Elephas maximus indicus: one gene and its partner. The protein of the gene in region 2 interacts with the protein of the main gene of each other region in a pairwise test. Links are inferred from orthologs where the notes say so. Each region holds a gene or a part of one and is shown on either strand. Other genes may lie near its edges. The genes, in order: IL1A and HAX1.

Region 1 (9,263 bases), on a different chromosome or scaffold from region 2:
TACAAATGTTCATTGCCACGTCACTTACACTGCTGAAAAATTGGCACTCCAAAATGTCCTTGACACGTTGCTACGTGAAAAGGGCCAGATATAAAATTGTATATAGTGTGATCCTAATAACAAACACGTTTGTTTATGTATGTGTATGTGTATAGAAAATACTTTAAGGAAGTATACCATAGTGTTGGCAGTGGTAAACTCTTGAGTGGTAGTATGAGTGATTTTGATTTTTTTAAAAAAATATTTTCTTGCATTTTTCAACTTCCTAGGTGTACATGCATTTTTGTTTAGATGTTATCTTAAAAACAGGAATAATGGGTTTATGTTACATGTGGAGGCTTGTACAGTAAAGGCATGAGAGAAAAATCATTTTTTTTTTTTTAAGTCAGGTAGAACTGAATTTGATTTGGAACTCTCCCACTTACAGGCTGCATGTCTTTGGGCAGGTCACTTATCTCGCCGAGCTTACTTTTCTCACATGTCAAATGAGAATGTAGGGTTATTGTGAGGTTTATATATAATTCAGGCATTAATAAATTAATGTAGTATTGGTGGTATTAATAGAAGTATTAACTGTAGTAGTAGTAATAACAACAAAGGAATAATTGCGATAATAATAGCTGACATTTTTTGGGTGCTTACCAGGAAAACCTGTTGGCACAGTGGTTAAGAACTATGGCTGCTAACTAAAAGGTCGGCAGTTCAAATCCACCAGGTGCTCCTTGGAAACCCTATGGGGCAGTTCTACTCTGTCCTATAGAGTTGCTATGAGTTGGAATCGACTCAGTGGCAATGGGTTTGGTTTGGTTTTTTTGGGTACTATGCACCAGGCATTATTCTAGTCCAGGAGTTGGGGGGTGTTCACTCATTTAATCTTCATGATAATACAGTGAGGTAAAAACTCTGATTATCTCCATTTTACAGTAGAGAAAGGTTTAATAACTTGGCCACGGGAGCATAACTAGTGAATGGAGGAACATATCTTGTAAGTGGTCACCCACTAACAGTATATAGTTACTTTTCCCCCTGAAAGGCTAAAAGTCACACGAGCTTTATAATACGATCAGTAAATGAGCCTGTGGGCAAGTATTCTACACTCAGGTCACTGCTGCTGTCTCTGCTTTAGAGAAGGAGAAAAATTAATTTTCCTTCCTTATGTTACTGGACTAAGGTCTGGTTGCCCTTCTGCTACTCTAAGTTTTATTTCCCTTAATACTCTATTGTCCCTATTTATTTAAAAATGGACATGATTGGCTTGACCTCTTACCTTCTTCTGGATCATTGGCAATGGCCTCCAGGTCTTCATCAGTGATGGGCTGATTTAAACTTAGTCGTCTCTTCTTCAGAATCTTCCCTGTGGCTGACACCACTGCCACACTCTCCTTGAAGGCAGGTTTGGCTATCTTAGAGGTTTCAGAGGTACTCAGTGACATAAATTTATCCATGCAGACCTCCTGAAGTGGGCCATAGTTTGCATCATAGAAGGATTTCTGTAAAGAAGAAAATGGATACTGAGAGGCTGCCATGGCTGTGGAATGAATGACACACTTTTCAGTAGGAATCTTGTCCAACTGACTTAGTGAGAAGGGTCTCCATTTTGGTCTTGGGTAACCTATGTTTCATCAGTCTTCTCCTGCTCCTTCCCTCCCTCCTACCTTCCTCGCTTTTCTCTTTCTTCCTCCCTTCCCTCCTTGCTTCCCTCCCTTTCTTTCTTCTAGGATGTCCCTAAAAGGATGTGATCTCTTGGGCGAGACTTTGTCATCCATGTGCAAGGACTCACAACTGAGATATTGTAATAAAATAGGTTAACAAGCGATCTTCGTGAGTGGTAGTCTTCAAATTGGTTCCTGCTCAGGAGGTTATGGTAATCTCTGCTTGACCTCTGCTTTAGAAATGTTCCTCTGAGAACAGCTTTGGCAGTCGGTACCAGAAATACACACGGCAGAACTTATCCCACCTACTTGTGGACTCCAGGTGAGTGGCTGCAGATTTCTCACTTTCAATTGGTCTGCTTCTTCTACTTCATGGGCTATTATGTTTGGAGGGCTCTACCTAACCTCACTTTAGGAGACAGACACCTAGTGAAGTGACCTGAAGGGGCTGCTTCAGGATGGCATAACTGATGTTCTGATGAAGCCTGACCCAGGAGGCTGTGGTCCTTGTGGCTTCAGGAAAGTTCTGCTCTGTTCTGGGCAAGGTGGTGAGCATGAGGAATGCCATTAACTGTTAGTTTAGAGAGGCAGCTGGTCTCACTTGTAATGAAGAAATGCAAGTTTCTGGACCTTTAGTGGATGTAAAACAAAAGTATCGACGGCCCAAGTCATTATTCTCTCCTGGTGAGAAACTACTGTATAAAAATACCAGTGCCCTAGGAGTTGCAATCATTTGCTTACCTGAATCAGAGAGAGGGTGTCATTGTTGGAACTGTATTCTTCATTTTCACTGTCAAAACAAGATGATGAGAATGTAATTCTGTTTATTTCCCTACGGTCACTGGGCAACTTATTTTAATGACCACATTAGCTTTGGGTAACACACACACTTGGACATTACTGTCATCTTTGAAAATTAAAGGACTTCTAGACACACACATACATACAGTAATTCATTCCGTACTAATTTGCAGTTAGGAATAATCAGGACAGGGCTTGGACTTTACCTGTGCTTCATCTATAAAAACTGGGTTTGGCTAACAAATTAAAGAGTTTTTATTGAACGTCAGGAAAAAATGTTAAGTTCCTCAAGAGAAAAGAAAAACTTTTGAAACATCTCCATTTTTTTAAACCAAATGTTTAATCATATGTTGCACATTGTTTTCCTGGGTTCTACAAAGTAGATTTAATAATTTATATTTGGCAAAATATTCAGGTAGCATTTTGATAGGCTAGTTTGTATTAGTGTATGTTATAGGTAGTGAGAATGCCATAAGTGTTTAAAATGTTCTGTAATTTCAATTTTTTATTTCTTTATCTTTCTCCTATGTCTGAATGAAGTTTGAGTGTGTGTGTGCATTCACAAGCTCGAATTGCTGTGTAGCCAACTCCTGATCCTGATTGGGATAAGAAGTTTGCATGAGAATGGCTTCTTTCTCATCCATGAAAACCCATTACTGTATCAGGGCATTGAGCTCAATTGGGGCTGTGCTTAAGTAGATGTTGAAATTCGTGTAGAACTCGGTAGACTTCAAAAATCATTTTTCTAAAATGACTGTCTCCCTGTCAGTGCAATCTCAGTTTAACACGCTGGATGCTTGATTTCCCTGAGTCTTCAGCTGAACTTGCACAGAATTCAGAAGTAGTGTTCTCCACACTCTCTGCTGATCTGACCCCATGTTGGTCACCGTAACTCCTAGCGGGATTCTAATGAGACTTGATCCCTTTGTTAAATCACAAGAGATAGAATCTATTTCTTACCTGTAACAGTCCTTCAGGTCTTCAAACAGGTCAGGAACTTTGGCCATCTTGATTTTCTGCAACAGAGAACACTGGCTGTCGGCTCAGCCAACCTTTGAATCAGATGGAGCCAACTCCACTCTATGTTTCTTGGGAGACTTGACTGAATTGACTTAGCCCACACTCAGCATTTCCCCTATTCTTCTTGTTCACTCTCTCGCTCTGTTTTTATTTATACCTACCTCCTTCACTGGACTGTAGCCTTTTTAGAATCTGTTTTATTTATCTTGGTATCCCTTACATGCCCAGCCCAATGCACTGCACATAGCAGGCATCGAGGGAACTAAAAGTCACCAGAATGAGATATTTATCTTACACAGATGTAAGAGAAAGACAGGTGGAAATTTCCAGCTCTTTTCCTGATAATTTTTGGTAGAGAAATTTCCTTCAGAGGGAAGGCTCAGATGTGCCCACCAACGCCCTCATAAGAAGCCAATTCCTCTGTCCTTGGGGTTCCCCAGCAGAATGAGAGATTTTCTGAGATCTGACTGTGATTCTCGCTCACATCCCAAACCAGGGAGGGACAAGAAAGGAAGAGAGAGGTTATTGCTTCATAGAAGGCAGTTTGAGAGACAGCAGCCAAGAAAAAAAACAAAAAATATTTAAAAAGAGAAACACGTGATAAGGACGATACCTTTGCCGACTGGAGCGCCAATGAAGTGATTCCTTCTCTGCCAGGAGAACTAAGACCGAGTCAGGCTGCTTCGCCTTTTGTAATTGTCTTGTCTTAAGTAGGTGTGGCAATGACTACGTCACCAGGGAATTTACAGGAGAGAATTCTTTTTGAATCAACTTGATACTGGCTAAAATAAGACAGATTGTATAGTTGATGGTATTGCCAAATTATTTGCAGAGATCCCAGGACTTTTTTTTTATTCACTAGGCTTATTGACTTATTGCTTTGCTCTATACAATTATAAACATGCAGTCTTAGAAAAAGGGAAGAAGAGCAGAAAACGTATTAAGCTTCTAAAAATATGCAGTGAGGGGAGGAAGTTACAGTGGTTAGCGTTGGAGGGGGCTTAGTAGCTGTAGTGGGTGTCTTGGCTTCATTTGTTTATTGTGCGCAGGCTGAAAGGGAACTGATGACACATCTTTCTTGGAGAGAGGTTTGCTTAAATAAGACATAAATCACTCTGAGCAGGAGGTGATGATCTCCTGGTTAGGCAGAATAGAGAAGTGATATTTGACCACAAAAGTTTTAATCCTTTGCTCCTCTGAATACTGTCAACTCATTTCTGACAGAGGTGACAGAGAACTCCCTGCCCTAGCCATGTCTCAGCAAAGCAGGCCTCTGCCAGAACCCAAAGAGAAGCCTGGGCTTCTCCAGGATCAACCCATGGTGTGTAAGGGTAGCTGCACCCTTGGGGAGGAGCGGGTAAGACCCTGGGCAGAGACCAGTGGCTGGGGTCTCAGCAGCAGTATCTTACAAGTCTGCAGTGCAGCCAACAGGACATCCTCGGGGAACTGGGGGACTCAGGGACCTCAAAAGGAGGCTGAGGGAGGTTACATCAGTGATGTCTCATTGTTACTATTAAAGGCTTTTTGGTATCCTGAGGCCAGCCCAGTTCAGGTGATAAAACACCAGGCTGCTTAGCAGATGAATGTTTCAGGTTTCTTAGTGGGAGTTTGAACCACACAAATTTAAGTAAAGTAAATGGATGGAAGAAAAGGGCAGAGGAGAGAAAAAGCAGAGAGAGAAAGGTGAGGCCTTTGATACATATGGTATAAAACATGATATAAAAAGGCAAAAAAATCACAGAACTGGAAGTGGGGTGGTTTGTGCGAGTTTGGTAAACTCTCTGGGACTGTTTAACTGAGAATATTGGACTTGGTTAGATGATCAATCAGGTCTATTATAACTGCAAAAATCTTTGATTCTGTTGCTTACTCTCTCAGTAGCCCAGTTCCTCCTGGTTGTAGACTTGGTGTTGTAATAGTTATAAACAAGAGCCACAGAAACAACTGGCACCCTGGAAGAAGGTACTCTAAATGTAGGATCAAGTTGAGACAGAGTTTGGGTGTCTTTGGATTGACCCTTGGGTGAACAAGGATGACAGTCAACTCTTCACATTTAGTTCCCCTTCAGGCAATACAGAAATGTTAATCCTAGTCACCCGCTCTGCCTCTGGTGCATCTTGTTAGGACTATTATTAAGAAACAATTTCAAAGCACATTGTGAATGTGGGCTGCTACACAAATAATGACACTAATGATGGCTCCAGTTGTAACGCCTTGGTTCACTGAAGAGGATATAGTTCTTAGGAAAATATGAGCTTGAAAACTTCAACAGGGAGAAAAATTCCAGTTGAAGGTCATTATTGAATCCCTGAAGGCATTTATTTAGCCCGTGGGAGCAAAGCATACCACCTTTTTGGTAATCCAGGAAATCACCCTTGCTTCCACCATCAGCAGCAACGTCCGTCCTGGCCTTTATCGCTCCTCCACTGTAAAGAAATCCCCAAAAGTGGTTGTTGAGTTTCTCAAAAAGAGTTTAGTTTTCTCTAGAAAGCTAACTCAGGTTGGGGTATCTCCCAACATTTTCCTTCACTTGACCTCCTTGGACTTGGTTTTTCAAGGAAAAACAAGGTGGATAAAGTTCAGGGTGGGAGAGGCCCTTGCTTTGTTTTTGGGAGCCTTGTTTGCACGAGGGTGAAGGAGGCTGACCTGTAAGTAACCTTGCTTACCTCTAAGACCACATCTTTCTAAGGAGTGGAGAGAAGAATACACTTGGTGTATCTCTAATGGAGTCTAGGATATGTAGGGGGTGGGCTGTCCTATGACAGGAGCTCTCAGTGTCTTCATGTACATACTTCTTGGCTCTCAGGAGACCATGAAAAGCCCTTCTTGAGTTATTTTTACAAAAATCATTCAGAAAAAATTATTGTGCACTTATTCCATGCCAGGCATTTTGTTAGGCACCGGTGTTTTTCTTTCGTGATTCAAAAAATTAGATATGCAAGATGAGATGATGGATGTTGGCAAGTTAGTGGATATGCTTTACCAGGTGAGAGATGGTACGTCCAAAGAATCATGATGATGCTTTTCATTTGAAACTGCTTTAGAGTTCACAAAGAGCTCTTAACTGCTATGCCTTACTGACTTCTCATTGCATCTGTAAGAGGTAGCTATTATTATCCATTTTTCTTTGCTGAGGACCCTTGAACAGGTTAAGTGACTAATCTAAGATCACAAAACTGACAGAACCAGTACTTGAACTCTGGTTTCTGAGTCTCTTCTCACCACCAATACCAAGTGACAGGGCCGAAACAGATCATTCTTAAGGTCTTTCCCACCTCAAACACTCTATTTGGTGATTTTGGACTCTTGTTAAAAAAAAAAAAAAAAGATAAAAAAAGAGAAGATTTGAAATATATTTCCCTTTCTTCCCTAATCTCATTTTGTTCTGTGACATACAGGAACAGGAGGAAGGTATTGAGCACATGGTCAGGAGTGGAGCCTGGATGGGAACCCGAGTCTTGTTCTTGCCATTGTACCAGGAAGACAGGAAATGCTTGTAAACATTTTTAGACCAACTTTAGAATCATTGCATATGATTGAATCTAACAGAATCACTTGAATGCAGAGAGAAACAAGACTTTTCTCTGTGAATTTCCAGGACATGCATTCATTAATTTTTGGGCGGTATAAAGCCTCTTCAGAGGAATAAACAATGCATAAGCCATTGCTTACAGAGACAATTGGGCCTTTAGTCTCAACTCATGCTCTATTTAATTATAATCTGCTTTTAAATTCTATGATGGTGAAGGGGAGGGAGGAAAGGGCACAACATCGTCTACTGTGTTCCAGGTGCTGTAATACATTATCTCATTTAATCCTCTGATCCTACCTGTGAGGTAGGTGTTCTTATCACATTTTATAGATGAGGATATCGAGGTTCAGAGAGATTAAGCAATCTGCTCAGGATCACAAAGTTATCAAATTGCTGAAATGGGTTTCAGACACCAGAGCTAGTATGCAGTCAACCAAACAGGAGGCCTTCTCTTTTCCTTAGTGTAGCCTCTTCCTTTCCTTTGTTCCCTTAAATTAATGTTTAATTCTTCTGCCTTCTGTTGTTAGTCTATTGAAGGACCTAGAATTATATTTTAGAGAAGGACGCACCTCAGATACCATCAAGTTCAAATTCTTAAAAAAGAGGAAATAGTCTCAGAGGGAGGACGTACTACCCCATGGTCACATGAAGAATTCATATGAGAGCAAGAACTAAAATTGAAGCTCACTATTTCTTGACTTCTAGTTCAAAATATCTTATTACCTACTAACACTGGCTCTTCAGTGAACAGAGGAAAAGTGAAGATATAATCTCTTCTAAAAAAAAATTTTTTTTTTTTTAATATGGCTCCTCACCTGTAAATAAAAAAGGAATTAAAAACAATGAAACCCCATCAAGTAAGCAAAACCAGCTATGGTTCCTGTTTTCATGGAAGCTGACAGTGAAGACATTAATCAATAATCTCCCCAAACAGTATGTATGGACAAGCAAATACAGTAAGTCATGTCACAGAGGAGCTGGTCTTAGACTGGGAATGGATAGTACAATGGGGAGGGAAGAGGGAATATTCCAGGCTGAGCAAAGGTTATGGGGATCAAAGAAGTGAAAGTACACCATTGAGGCTGCAGCAGGGGGTGAGAGGAGGTGGCAAGATAAGGATGGAGAGGAAGGCAAGCACCAGACAGGCAGGGCCTCGTGTAGGCCCAGCTAAGGTCTTTATCCAAAGTTTAATGGGACCGCACATAACAACAAGAACAACCACAAGGGTTGTACGTATGGGTGACATAAGCAGCTTTGTACTTTTAAAAGATCGCTCTTGTGCGTGAAAACAATTTCTAGATTATAAAGCAGTAGACGAAGGATAGGAATTACACGGAGTGAAGAGAATGTATTCACAAAGCGTACATGAAAACTGGCCTTGCTCTCTTCACTCTGGCTTGTGTACCAGAGGCAGCAAGTGCTCTGGGAGCTCGAAGAGCAGAGGGCTGCCTTGGCTGGGAGCAGGTGGTGAAGTTCACGTAGGTTGAAGCCTGCTATTCAGTCAGCAAATCCCCAGTGAGCAGTGTTTCCTTCTCCTATCTTTAATTAATCATTTGTTCCCTAATTTATATACTTTTCTTCCTAAATCCCCTTCCTCTCTTCTCTTGAAGTGGTGCTTTACAGGACTGTGTCCCCTCTTTGCCTCCTCCCTTGGGTACGTGCCCTTTTCCCATCTTTCACAGATGCTCTTGACAAAATCAGAGTTCGCCAGACTGCTTCCTGTGTGGTTACAGCCATGTCCATGCCTGTCCCTCACTTCTCCTTCTTCCTGGGGTGTTGTGATTGTCTGATCCGAAATGCACTTTTTAGAAATCCCCTTTCCTTTTTTTTTTTCCTTTATTTTTCTCATTAGAGTCATAGTTATTTGTGATCTAAACTTGTTTCTCAGTTGTTTTTTTTTTTTTAACTTATTATTTTTTGGATTCTAATACATGTTTTATTAAATATTTCTAGGGTTATATAAAGATATGCAGAAGAAAGTAAAACCCACAAATAATAACTAGAGACACCAGTACCGGTAGCCGTTGAGTCAACTTTCACTCACGTCGACCCCATGTGTGTCAGAACAGACTTAATTGTGCTATACGGGATTTTCAATGACTGATTTTTTTGAAGGTAGATCTCTGGGCCTTTTTCCTGAGGCATGTCTGGCTGGACTTGAATCTCCAACGTTTTGGTTACAGTTGAGCACATTATCCATTTGTACCACCCAGGGACTCCAGATAATCACTATTAATATTTTGGTGTTTTTGATTTTA
Region 2 (8,910 bases):
TCCTCCTCCCTCAGGTGTATCAGTCACCTCCAGTAACACGGGCGTGCCAGATATCTCGGGTTCTGTGTACTCCAAAACCCAGGTAGGTGCCTGGCTCTGACAGAAGTGTGAAAAAAGAGAGATGGACTTAGATGAGGTAGAGTTTCAGTGAGAGAAGCTCAGTGAACAAGAGCAACCCTAGGAGAAGGATTAGTCCAAAGGACTAATGGACCACAACTGCCACAGCCTCCACCAGACTGAGTCCAGCACAACTAGATGGTGCCTGGTTACCACCACTGACTGCTCTGACAGGGATCACAATAGAGGGTCCCAGATACAGCTGGAGAAAAATGTAGAACAAAATTTTAACTCACACACACACACAAAAAAGACCAGACTTAACTGATCTGACAGTGGAGAAACCCTGAGAGTATGCCCCTTGGAAACCCATTTGGCTCAATAATGAAGTCACTCCTGAGGTTTACCCTTCAGCCAAAGATTAGACAGGCCTATAAAACAAAACGAGATTAAATGGGCACACCAGCCCAGGGGCAAGGACGAGAAGGCAGGAGGGGACAGGAAAGCTGGTAATGGGGAACCCCAGGTTGAAAAGGGGAGAGTGTTGACCTGTCATGGGGTTGAGAACCAATGTCACAGAACAATATGTGTACTAATTGTTTAATGAAAAGCTGTTTGTTCTGTAAACCTTCATGTAAATTACAATTTTAAAAAAAAGCAACCCTAGGAGAAAACCAAAAAAAAAAAAAAACCTGATGCCATCAAGTTGATTCTGAGTCATAGTCATAGCGACCCTATAGGACAGGCTAGAACTACCCCATAGGGCTTCCAAGTAGCAGCTGCTGGATTTGAACTGCCAGACCTTTTGATTAGCTGCCAAGCTCTTAACCACTGGGTCATCAGGGCTACAACCCTAGGAGAGGTGGCAGGACACCCATCCTACTAGAAAATGACTGGTTTTCTCTAGACTTCGGTGCCTCTAAGGAGTTTTTAAATTTAGCCCGCCGGAAAAAAAAAAATGTTATAGTAAGGCAAGGTGTGGCAGATTGTTGTGATGTGTCATGTGATTTACTGTCCTAGCCCTTTACCTCCCTGCTCCCAACCTTTCTCATAACTTTCTGAGAGAGGGAGGATGGAATGAAGGGAAATTAGTTCATCTGTTCTTTGTGAGTAAATCTGTAACAAAGAGTGGGAAAGCAGAAGCCCAGTAACTAAAGTGAGGCATTTGAATGATCCACAGGCTTGTTTGTATAACTTGTGTTACTTTTACTGATAGAAAGTATTTGGGGGAGTGCTTCATGGCCAAGGCCTTCAACCTTCACGTGTATTAGTTTCTTTTGAAATATCTAAGAAGTTCTGATTTTCACGTAGCTCCATGGTGGGGGAACTAAGGGTAGTCAGCAAATTTCAGCTTTCATCTGTGTCATTAGCTTTACAAAGTGCTTTCACGTTTATTCTCTCATTTGATCCTTACAACCGTGAGATCAGTAGCATCCCTGTTTTATGTATCAGGAAACCGAGGCTGAGAGATTGAGTAACTTGCCCAGGATCATTGAAGGGCAGAGCTGGGACTCAGACCCGAATAGCCGACTTTAGGTGCATGTTCCTTCTATGATGCCACTGCTGCCTTCTGAAGGTGGGGAGCTTGGGCTTAGAAATGTCAAGGCTTACTTTGCTGATCCCTTTTACTCTGTCTTTTCCCACCCTCCTGGATAGCAGTCCTTTGAGAAACAAGGTTTTCATTCCGGTACTCCTGCTGCCTCCTTCAACTTGCCTTCAGCCCTAGGAAGTGGGGGGCCCATCAATCCGGCCACAGCTGCTGCCTACCCACCTGCCCCCTTTATGCACATTCTGACCCCCCATCAGCAGCCGCACTCCCAGATCCTTCACCATCACCTGCAGCAGGATGGCCAGGTAATAGCAATTCCTCTTCTCTCCTTTCCCTTCCTCTTCCTTCCTATCCCTTAAAACTGCCTTCCTTTTCCTTCTCTTACCCTTCTTCACCACCACCTTCACCCAGCCCTTCCCAGTGCCAGCCATGGGCACACAGCACATACAGACACAAGCGCACATAACACGAGCGGCCAGCAAAGGAGATGTCAGAGAAGGGGCCAGGTACCTTTTTTGCCCACTTCCTTTGGTGCCTTTCTCCTCCACCTCCTCACATGACACAGTTGTCTTCATCCCATCAGACCTGGGTTACACCTCCCCTCCTGCCTCTCCCAGTCTTCCCCTTTCCCCTGACATTATAGCTTTCCCTTATGATGGTGGAGTTCTATTGTCAAAGTTTGTCCCTTTATTTTCCATATATCCTGGTTCTGCCTCAGCTACCATATTTGCAGATGATTCTCTGTTGCCAGCGCCAGCAGGAGGAGCAGGTAATGAAACTAAATGATGATATGCTTGAACCCACTCCTTTTCAGTCCCCATTTCACCTCCATAGCTTCAGGGAACTTGAAGAGGAAATAGATTGCGCGGTCACAAGTCGGGATACACAAACACGGACACCTTGCTGAGCTCTCTGGCCTCCCTTCCTGTGTCCTTTCCCCTTCCTTAATGCCCTCTTTCTTTCTTTCTACCCTTCGCCCAAACACTTGGTTACCGGAATGGGAAAGATTCTTAGACAGTATTTGGAGCCCTGAGGCTTTAGTCTGTCTCCTGCCTTGTCTGCAGTGGGCTCACAGATGTGATGTGTGGTAGGGGTGAGGAGCTGTGGGATGGCACAGGTGACCTCTCTGTCATAGGTGGCTGGGGAGCTGGAATAAGGGCTTCCTTGCTTTCAAAGATAGCATTCCAAATTGAGGCACTTGGGGGCATCAGTGGAAATGAAATGACTTTATGATCTCTCATCCCGAAGAGGTCATAATTCTCCCCAGATAGCAGCCCTTTGCCAGAGCAGAGAGTGGTGAGGTGGTAGGAAAATGTGGAATTGAAAATGAGTAGAACTATCTTATCTCCAAAAGTATCTTGCCCTCATTTCATCTTTCCGCTATTTAAAGGATGAAAGTGCCTTGCTTGTCAGAGAGGGCCTCTAACAGCTATGTAGAGCAGAACTCCCCATGGCTGACAAGTGAACTTCCTAGTAGTCTCTAAACAAGGGGTATGGGGGAGAGTTCAAGACAACTTCCATATCTCCACCTAAAGATGTCACAAATCTGTCCCACTAACTAGACACCTTTTTCCTCTCCATGATCCTCCCATACCCCTGCAGACGGGCAGCGGGCAACGTAGCCAGACCAGCTCCATCCCGCAGAAGCCCCAGACCAACAAGTCTGCCTACAACAGCTACAGCTGGGGGGCCAACTGAGGCCCTGGCCCTCCTCTTCTCCCGGCCCCATCTTCTGAGAGGGCTCCTCAGCCTGGCTACTATGGAAACAGCATCAAAGAGAGAAAGGAATGTGGGGGGGTTCCACCACCCCCCACCCCCAGCGGCCTACCCCATGCCTCAGCTTTATGTCTGTTCCATTCCCATACCATCCCCACTCTGTTGTATGTATTATAGGATTTGTATTTTTTCCTTTTGTTTTTTTTTTTTCCTCTCTTCCTTTCCTCTTCCTCCTCCCCCCTTGCATTCAAGATTATGAAACTTTGCTGTGGGCCCTGCCCTTCCTTCTCCTCCTCCTGTTCACCCTGGTGGTGTTTGGGTGAGGTGGGAAGAGGGGGCCCCCAAATATATATCAGCCCAACAGCCCTAAGCCTCCTCCTTTATTATTAGGAAAACAAAACAACAAAAAAATGGCGTCATGAATATGAACAGCATCGTCAGATGAATTAGTTGAAGTGTTTTTTTGTTTTTGTTTTTGTTTTTTTGTACTGTGTCCTCAAATTTAATGGATTAATGTGTCTTGTATATATAAAAAGAAAACCTCTACCTTCAGCCTCTGCCCATTCTTGCTCCGTCTAGGATATCCTCAGTCTCGTCGATGACCGGCTTGGTGAATAAGTATTACCGTACCAACTGGGCCTCCTCTAGCAGGCCCCGAAGGCAGTGGAATAAAATGAAATCTTTGCCCTTTAAGAACTCCTCTGACCTTAATGTGCTAGTATCTTGCCCTTGAGGGAATTCCCTTCCCTTCACCCCTAAGAATCTCATAGCCTGATGCCTGGGAAGAACCACCACAAGTCTTCATTTTCTCCAGAAACTACATCTACAGCAGATTTCAGGCAATGAGGGGAAAAGGACAGAGGAGATGGGGGGGTGGAAAGGGTCTTAGAGGAGCTGAGACCATTTCAAAGAGGGAAATGGCATTGTGGGGTCAAAGTATAACTTCAACAGGTCCAGGCAAATGAAAGAAGTGAGAGCAACATGCACTGTTGGCTGGGGCACCACCCCCCTGGGAGTAAAACACAAAACTTATTGCCTCTTGGGTGGTTCATGTCACACCCAGTCCCTTGAAAAGGAGTCAAGGTCAGGATGGAGGAGGAGGGTGAGACGTTGAAGAGTCTGTGATATGAAAAGGAATACTTACAGCCCCAAATCCTTTCTTCCCTCCCAGGACGCCTCACTAGCTTCCCTTCCCTTGCTCCCTTACAAATCCAGTTTGCTGCTGGTTGCAAAGCCTGCTTGGGAAAACCAAGTATCCTTAATGACATTTTTGGTGGCTGGAGAGATGGAGGAAATAAGTCCATGCGTCCCCATATCTTAACTGGGAGAATTCAGAACATTTTGTCCGTTCCTCTCAGACTTAAACAAGCCCGAGAAAGGGAGCGGGGTGACTTGTGGCTTCCCTGGGTGTGTTCAGCCAGGGATGAGGGAGGGCCTTGGGCTCGTTATTTGTGCGATTGGACTGTCCCCTGGCGGCCATAGCCGTATACAATCAAGAGTCCAATCTTAGAAACACCTTTTAGGCTTAGGCTGGTCAGCAGGAAGGAGAGTCTGACGTCGGACGCAGGTGGCCATTGGGAAATAGGAATTCGGTAGCACGCACCCGCTTCACAAGAAACTGGTCTGAAAAAGTGAGGTAAAAGGTAAAAGCCGTTCGAATTTGAGGAGGCCCGTCCGCCCCGCCTCCCCTTCCAGGTCCGGCTTACGGTCGTTTTACGACAGTATCTGGGTTGCAGCCTTGCTTTCCGGCAGCGTGGTGTGACGTTTCGCCCACCTTCCGTCAGCGAAGCGCCGGCTGCCTACTGGTGCGAATGGGTCGTGGGTGGCGTTCAAAGGTTCGAATCCCAGTACGGGAATGAGCCTCTTTGACCTCTTCCGGGGCTTTTTCGGCTTTTCTAGACCTCGGAGGTGAGCGTGGGTCCGGGTCGGACAAGGGGGGGAATCTTCTGAGGGGACTTTGGCCCTTGACACCCTCTATTTGGAAAAACATCCTCTTGCCCACACTTTTAACTGCGGAGAAGATCGAAGTCGCAACATTCAGTACTCACCTTGCGACAGTAACCAAGGCAGTCGTTAAGTGGAGGAAAAACGGCAACCTAAGCCTTTCTCCAACCTGGGGTGATGCAACAGGCGCCCGGGCGGGGAAGAAAATGGGGATCTGGGGGTAAGGACGATGAGCAAGTGAGCATAACCTTGGCATGCGGGGAGAGGCTGGCAGACACTGGAGACAAGGCGGTGGGAAGGAGATTGGGGTAAACTGAGAGATGAGGATTGACTTTAATAAGAGCTATACAAAAATACTAGCAGCTGTTATGCTTCCGAGACCCCTGTTCTTGTCTCACTTTTCTAAGTACTTGCTGGTGCTGAAATCTTGGTGGCCAATCTGCCCCCACCCCCAGCCACAGAGATCCCTTTTTTGGAGGAATGACTCGAGATGAAGATGAGGATGATGAGGAAGAAGAAGAAGAAGGAGCCACATGGGGCTATGGGAGCCCCAGGTTTGGGGAGCCCCAGCCCCCAGAAGAATTTGGCTTCAGCTTCAGCCCAGGAGGAGGGATGCGTTTCCATCGTAATTTCGGCTTTGATGACCTAGTACGGGATTTCAATAGCATCTTCAGTGAGATGGAGGCCTGGACCTTGCCTTCTCGCCCTCCTGGTGTGTGGCTGCCCTTGAGGGAGAACTTGTGGGTTCTAATGGGTTGGTGGGTGAAATAAGGAGCCTGCAGGGAGTAGTTTGGGGTGGAAAGTGTGAGAAGACTGATGACTTCAGGGAGATTTAAAGAGCCCAAGTCCTCTTCCACTGCCAACATTGACCTGCCACTTTCTGTAGAACTTCTAGGTCCTGAGTCAGAGACAGCTGGTGAGAGACAGCGGAAGGGAGAGACACTTCGGGACTCAATGCTTAAGTATCCAGATAGCCACCAGCCCAGGATCTTTGGGGGGGTCTTGGAGAGTGATGCAGGGACTGAATCCTCAAAACCAGTACCAGACTGGGGCTCCCAGAGACCTTTTCATAGGGTGAGTATCCCATCTGGCCCTGACGTGAGAACCTGTGAAAACAACTGATAGTGTGCAGAGACTGGAATCTTTGATGGAATCTGATAAACTTGAGTTGGCATCCTAGACCGTCCACTTAGCTTATTTATCTGTTTTCTATAATAGCTTCTTGTAGGATTTTCTTTGTGGAGGGGGGGTGGTGGTGAAAATGGGAGTTCTACTGTCTCTCTTTTTTAAAAAAAAATGAAAATCACTGGCCCAGAGGAATTGTTGGGGGAAGACTGGGAAGGATCAGGTCAGGAAGGCTTCTTGGTACAGGAATACATAAAACAGCCAGGAAAGAGGAAGTAGTAAGGAAGTAGACCTGTACTGAATGGGATTCTTCTTCCTGCGGAAAGGTGGTTTTGGAACTTGGTAGTGTTTTGGGTCTGTGACCTTTCAGGTTTCACATTGAAAAGATATTTTTCACCTACTTTGGATTCTTCAGCAGTTTGATGATGTGTGGCCTGTGACCCCCCATCCTAGAGCCCGAGAGGACAATGGTGAGTCTAGAAGGAGGGGACATTCACTAGCCCTCTGTTGTTCTCCTGAAGTTCCCTCTGCTTTCCCTCCCTGAATCTTCTTCATGTCACAGTTCTCCTTTCTTTTCCCTTGTATTATGCCTCTCCTGTTCCTTCATCTCTCTGCCTTTCCAGATCTGGATTCCCAAGTTTCCCAGGAGGGCCTTGGCCCGGTTCTACAGCCCCGGCCTAGATCCTATTTCAAGAGCGTCTCTGTGACCAAGATCACTAAGCCAGATGGGGTGAGCTGGGGGAGAGGGTTAAAGGGAACTGTGGCTAGGGGCTGCCATGAAAACAGATCCATGTATAGAAAGCACCAAACTCACTTTTAGTGAATGGTGGGGACTTCTCCTTATAGACAGTGGAGGAGCACCGGACTGTGGTGGACAGTGAGGGCCGGACAGAGACCACAGTAATACGGCAAGAAGCAGATGGCAGTCCTAGAGATGGTAAGTGAAGAGTATGAACCAAAGGGGTCCATTTCTTAACAACTTTAGGAGGGGAAACTTTCTCCTAACCTTAATTATTCTTCTCCTTTGTCCCTGCCTAGTCTCTCTCATTTAGCCTATTTATGTGTATAACTTTCTTGCCTAGATCAAGAATCACCAAGATCTTCAGCCCTGGATGATACCTCTTCCATCCTGGATTTATTCCTAGGACGATGGTTCCGGTTCCGGTAGACTTGTTAACCCTCAGAGGCCTTCAGGTCCTTTCTGTCTCCCACCTGTAACCCACCACCAATGGGCTTAGTTTCTCTTGCCACACCAGGGGCTTGGGTGTAGGGAGCAGAGAACTGGGGGTATGTCAGTATGTCACTCACCTAAACTGACCAATAAAACCTTTATTTATGCTAATTCCTCAGTCTTGGTTTTGTCAAGGCTGTGTCACTTTCTAGCACTATGCAGGACTTCCCAAATTACCTTGGACCACAACCTTAGCCTTATTTCTTAATTTTTTGTGCCACTTGCAGAACCTGATTTGTTAGGTAAGAGTCAGATGTCAGTAAAAAGTGATTTTCCTTACTGAGGAGATAACTAGAAATAATTCCTAGAAATTTTCCAGAAGGGGATGATACATCAGATTCCAAAGAAGGAAGAGGGGAGTGTGGAAGTGGGGGATAACTGTTGCCCTAAGTGTGGTATCACTGTGACTGGATAGTTCATAAGATAATTAGAGGAAATATATGGGCAAATATTTCTTGATTTACTGGCTAAGTTTTTGTTTTAATGTGTGTTAGAGAAAATATAACTAGCATAATATCCACCCTTATTCTCCTGAAGTTCACTTTGTTCTCCCTCCAACACATTAGAGTAAAAAGTAAAATATTTTCCTCATTAAAAAAGTTTTTGGTACTATGGTTAAAGATGGCAGATTTTACAAATGTATTTACTTCCATTCCTTCTGAAACCCTCGTTAAAATGACAAGGGATTTTACTAAAAAGATATCAGAAGAACAAAGAGGAAAGGAGCTGATAGCTATGAGATTTTACCTTTTCACTATTATTTCTTTTGGTAAACAGAGTTGTTAGCCAGTTTATCTTTTCCTTTATGGATAGTGCTGCTTTTGTCTTTCAGAAATCTCCCTAACTCAGGGTTAAAAGGATACTTACCTATAGTATCCTCTACAAGTTTTATAGTTTTTCCATTTACATTTTTTTAATTCACCTGGAATTTATCTTTGTTATATAATATGAATCAGGGAGCCAATTTCATTTTTTCCAATTGGAGTGTATGTGTGTATATGTATGTATATATGTGTGTGTATATATGTGCATATATGTGTATATATGTCTGTGTGTGTGTGTTTATATATATATATGGTGCTGGTGGCATAATAGTTAAAGAGCTTGGCTGCTGACCAAAAGGTCACAGTTTGAATCCACTAACCGCTCCTTCGAAACCATATGAGGCAGTTCTACTTTGTCCTATAGGGTCACTATGAGTTGGAACCGATGCAATGGCAATGAGTTTTTGTAAGAGATGGATGGGTGGGTACACACACACACGTACATATTTCCCTGTGCCAGATCT

Evidence for each region.
Region 1: the proteins of HAX1 (region 2) and IL1A interact in binary tests that used the Homo sapiens proteins (3 or more experiments, as listed by UniProt). The link is inferred for Elephas maximus indicus from reciprocal best matches to the Homo sapiens genes HAX1 and IL1A.

What each region holds. Positions count from the first base shown.
Region 1 is NC_064835.1:42,084,057-42,093,319, forward strand, and holds the start of IL1A (interleukin-1 alpha), read right to left. Parts: upstream 3,461-9,263; coding exon 3,414-3,460; intron 2,443-3,413; coding exon 2,394-2,442; intron 1,491-2,393; coding exon 1,268-1,490; intron 1-1,267. UniProt on the Homo sapiens protein: Cytokine constitutively present intracellularly in nearly all resting non-hematopoietic cells that plays an important role in inflammation and bridges the innate and adaptive immune systems.
Region 2 is NC_064821.1:192,032,683-192,041,592, forward strand, and holds HAX1 (HCLS1-associated protein X-1), read left to right. Parts: upstream 1-4,870; 5' UTR 4,871-5,177; coding exon 5,178-5,230; intron 5,231-5,253; exon of another isoform or gene 5,254-5,472; coding exon of another isoform or gene 5,473-5,486; intron 5,487-5,721; coding exon 5,722-5,978; intron 5,979-6,152; coding exon 6,153-6,340; intron 6,341-6,806; coding exon 6,807-6,861; intron 6,862-7,014; coding exon 7,015-7,121; intron 7,122-7,237; coding exon 7,238-7,328; intron 7,329-7,473; coding exon 7,474-7,559; 3' UTR 7,560-8,547; downstream 8,548-8,910. Other genes in the region: UBAP2L (ubiquitin-associated protein 2-like), read left to right, coding at 15-82, 1,714-1,911, 2,325-2,375, 3,209-3,304. UniProt on the Homo sapiens protein: Recruits the Arp2/3 complex to the cell cortex and regulates reorganization of the cortical actin cytoskeleton via its interaction with KCNC3 and the Arp2/3 complex. Slows down the rate of inactivation of KCNC3 channels. Promotes GNA13-mediated cell migration.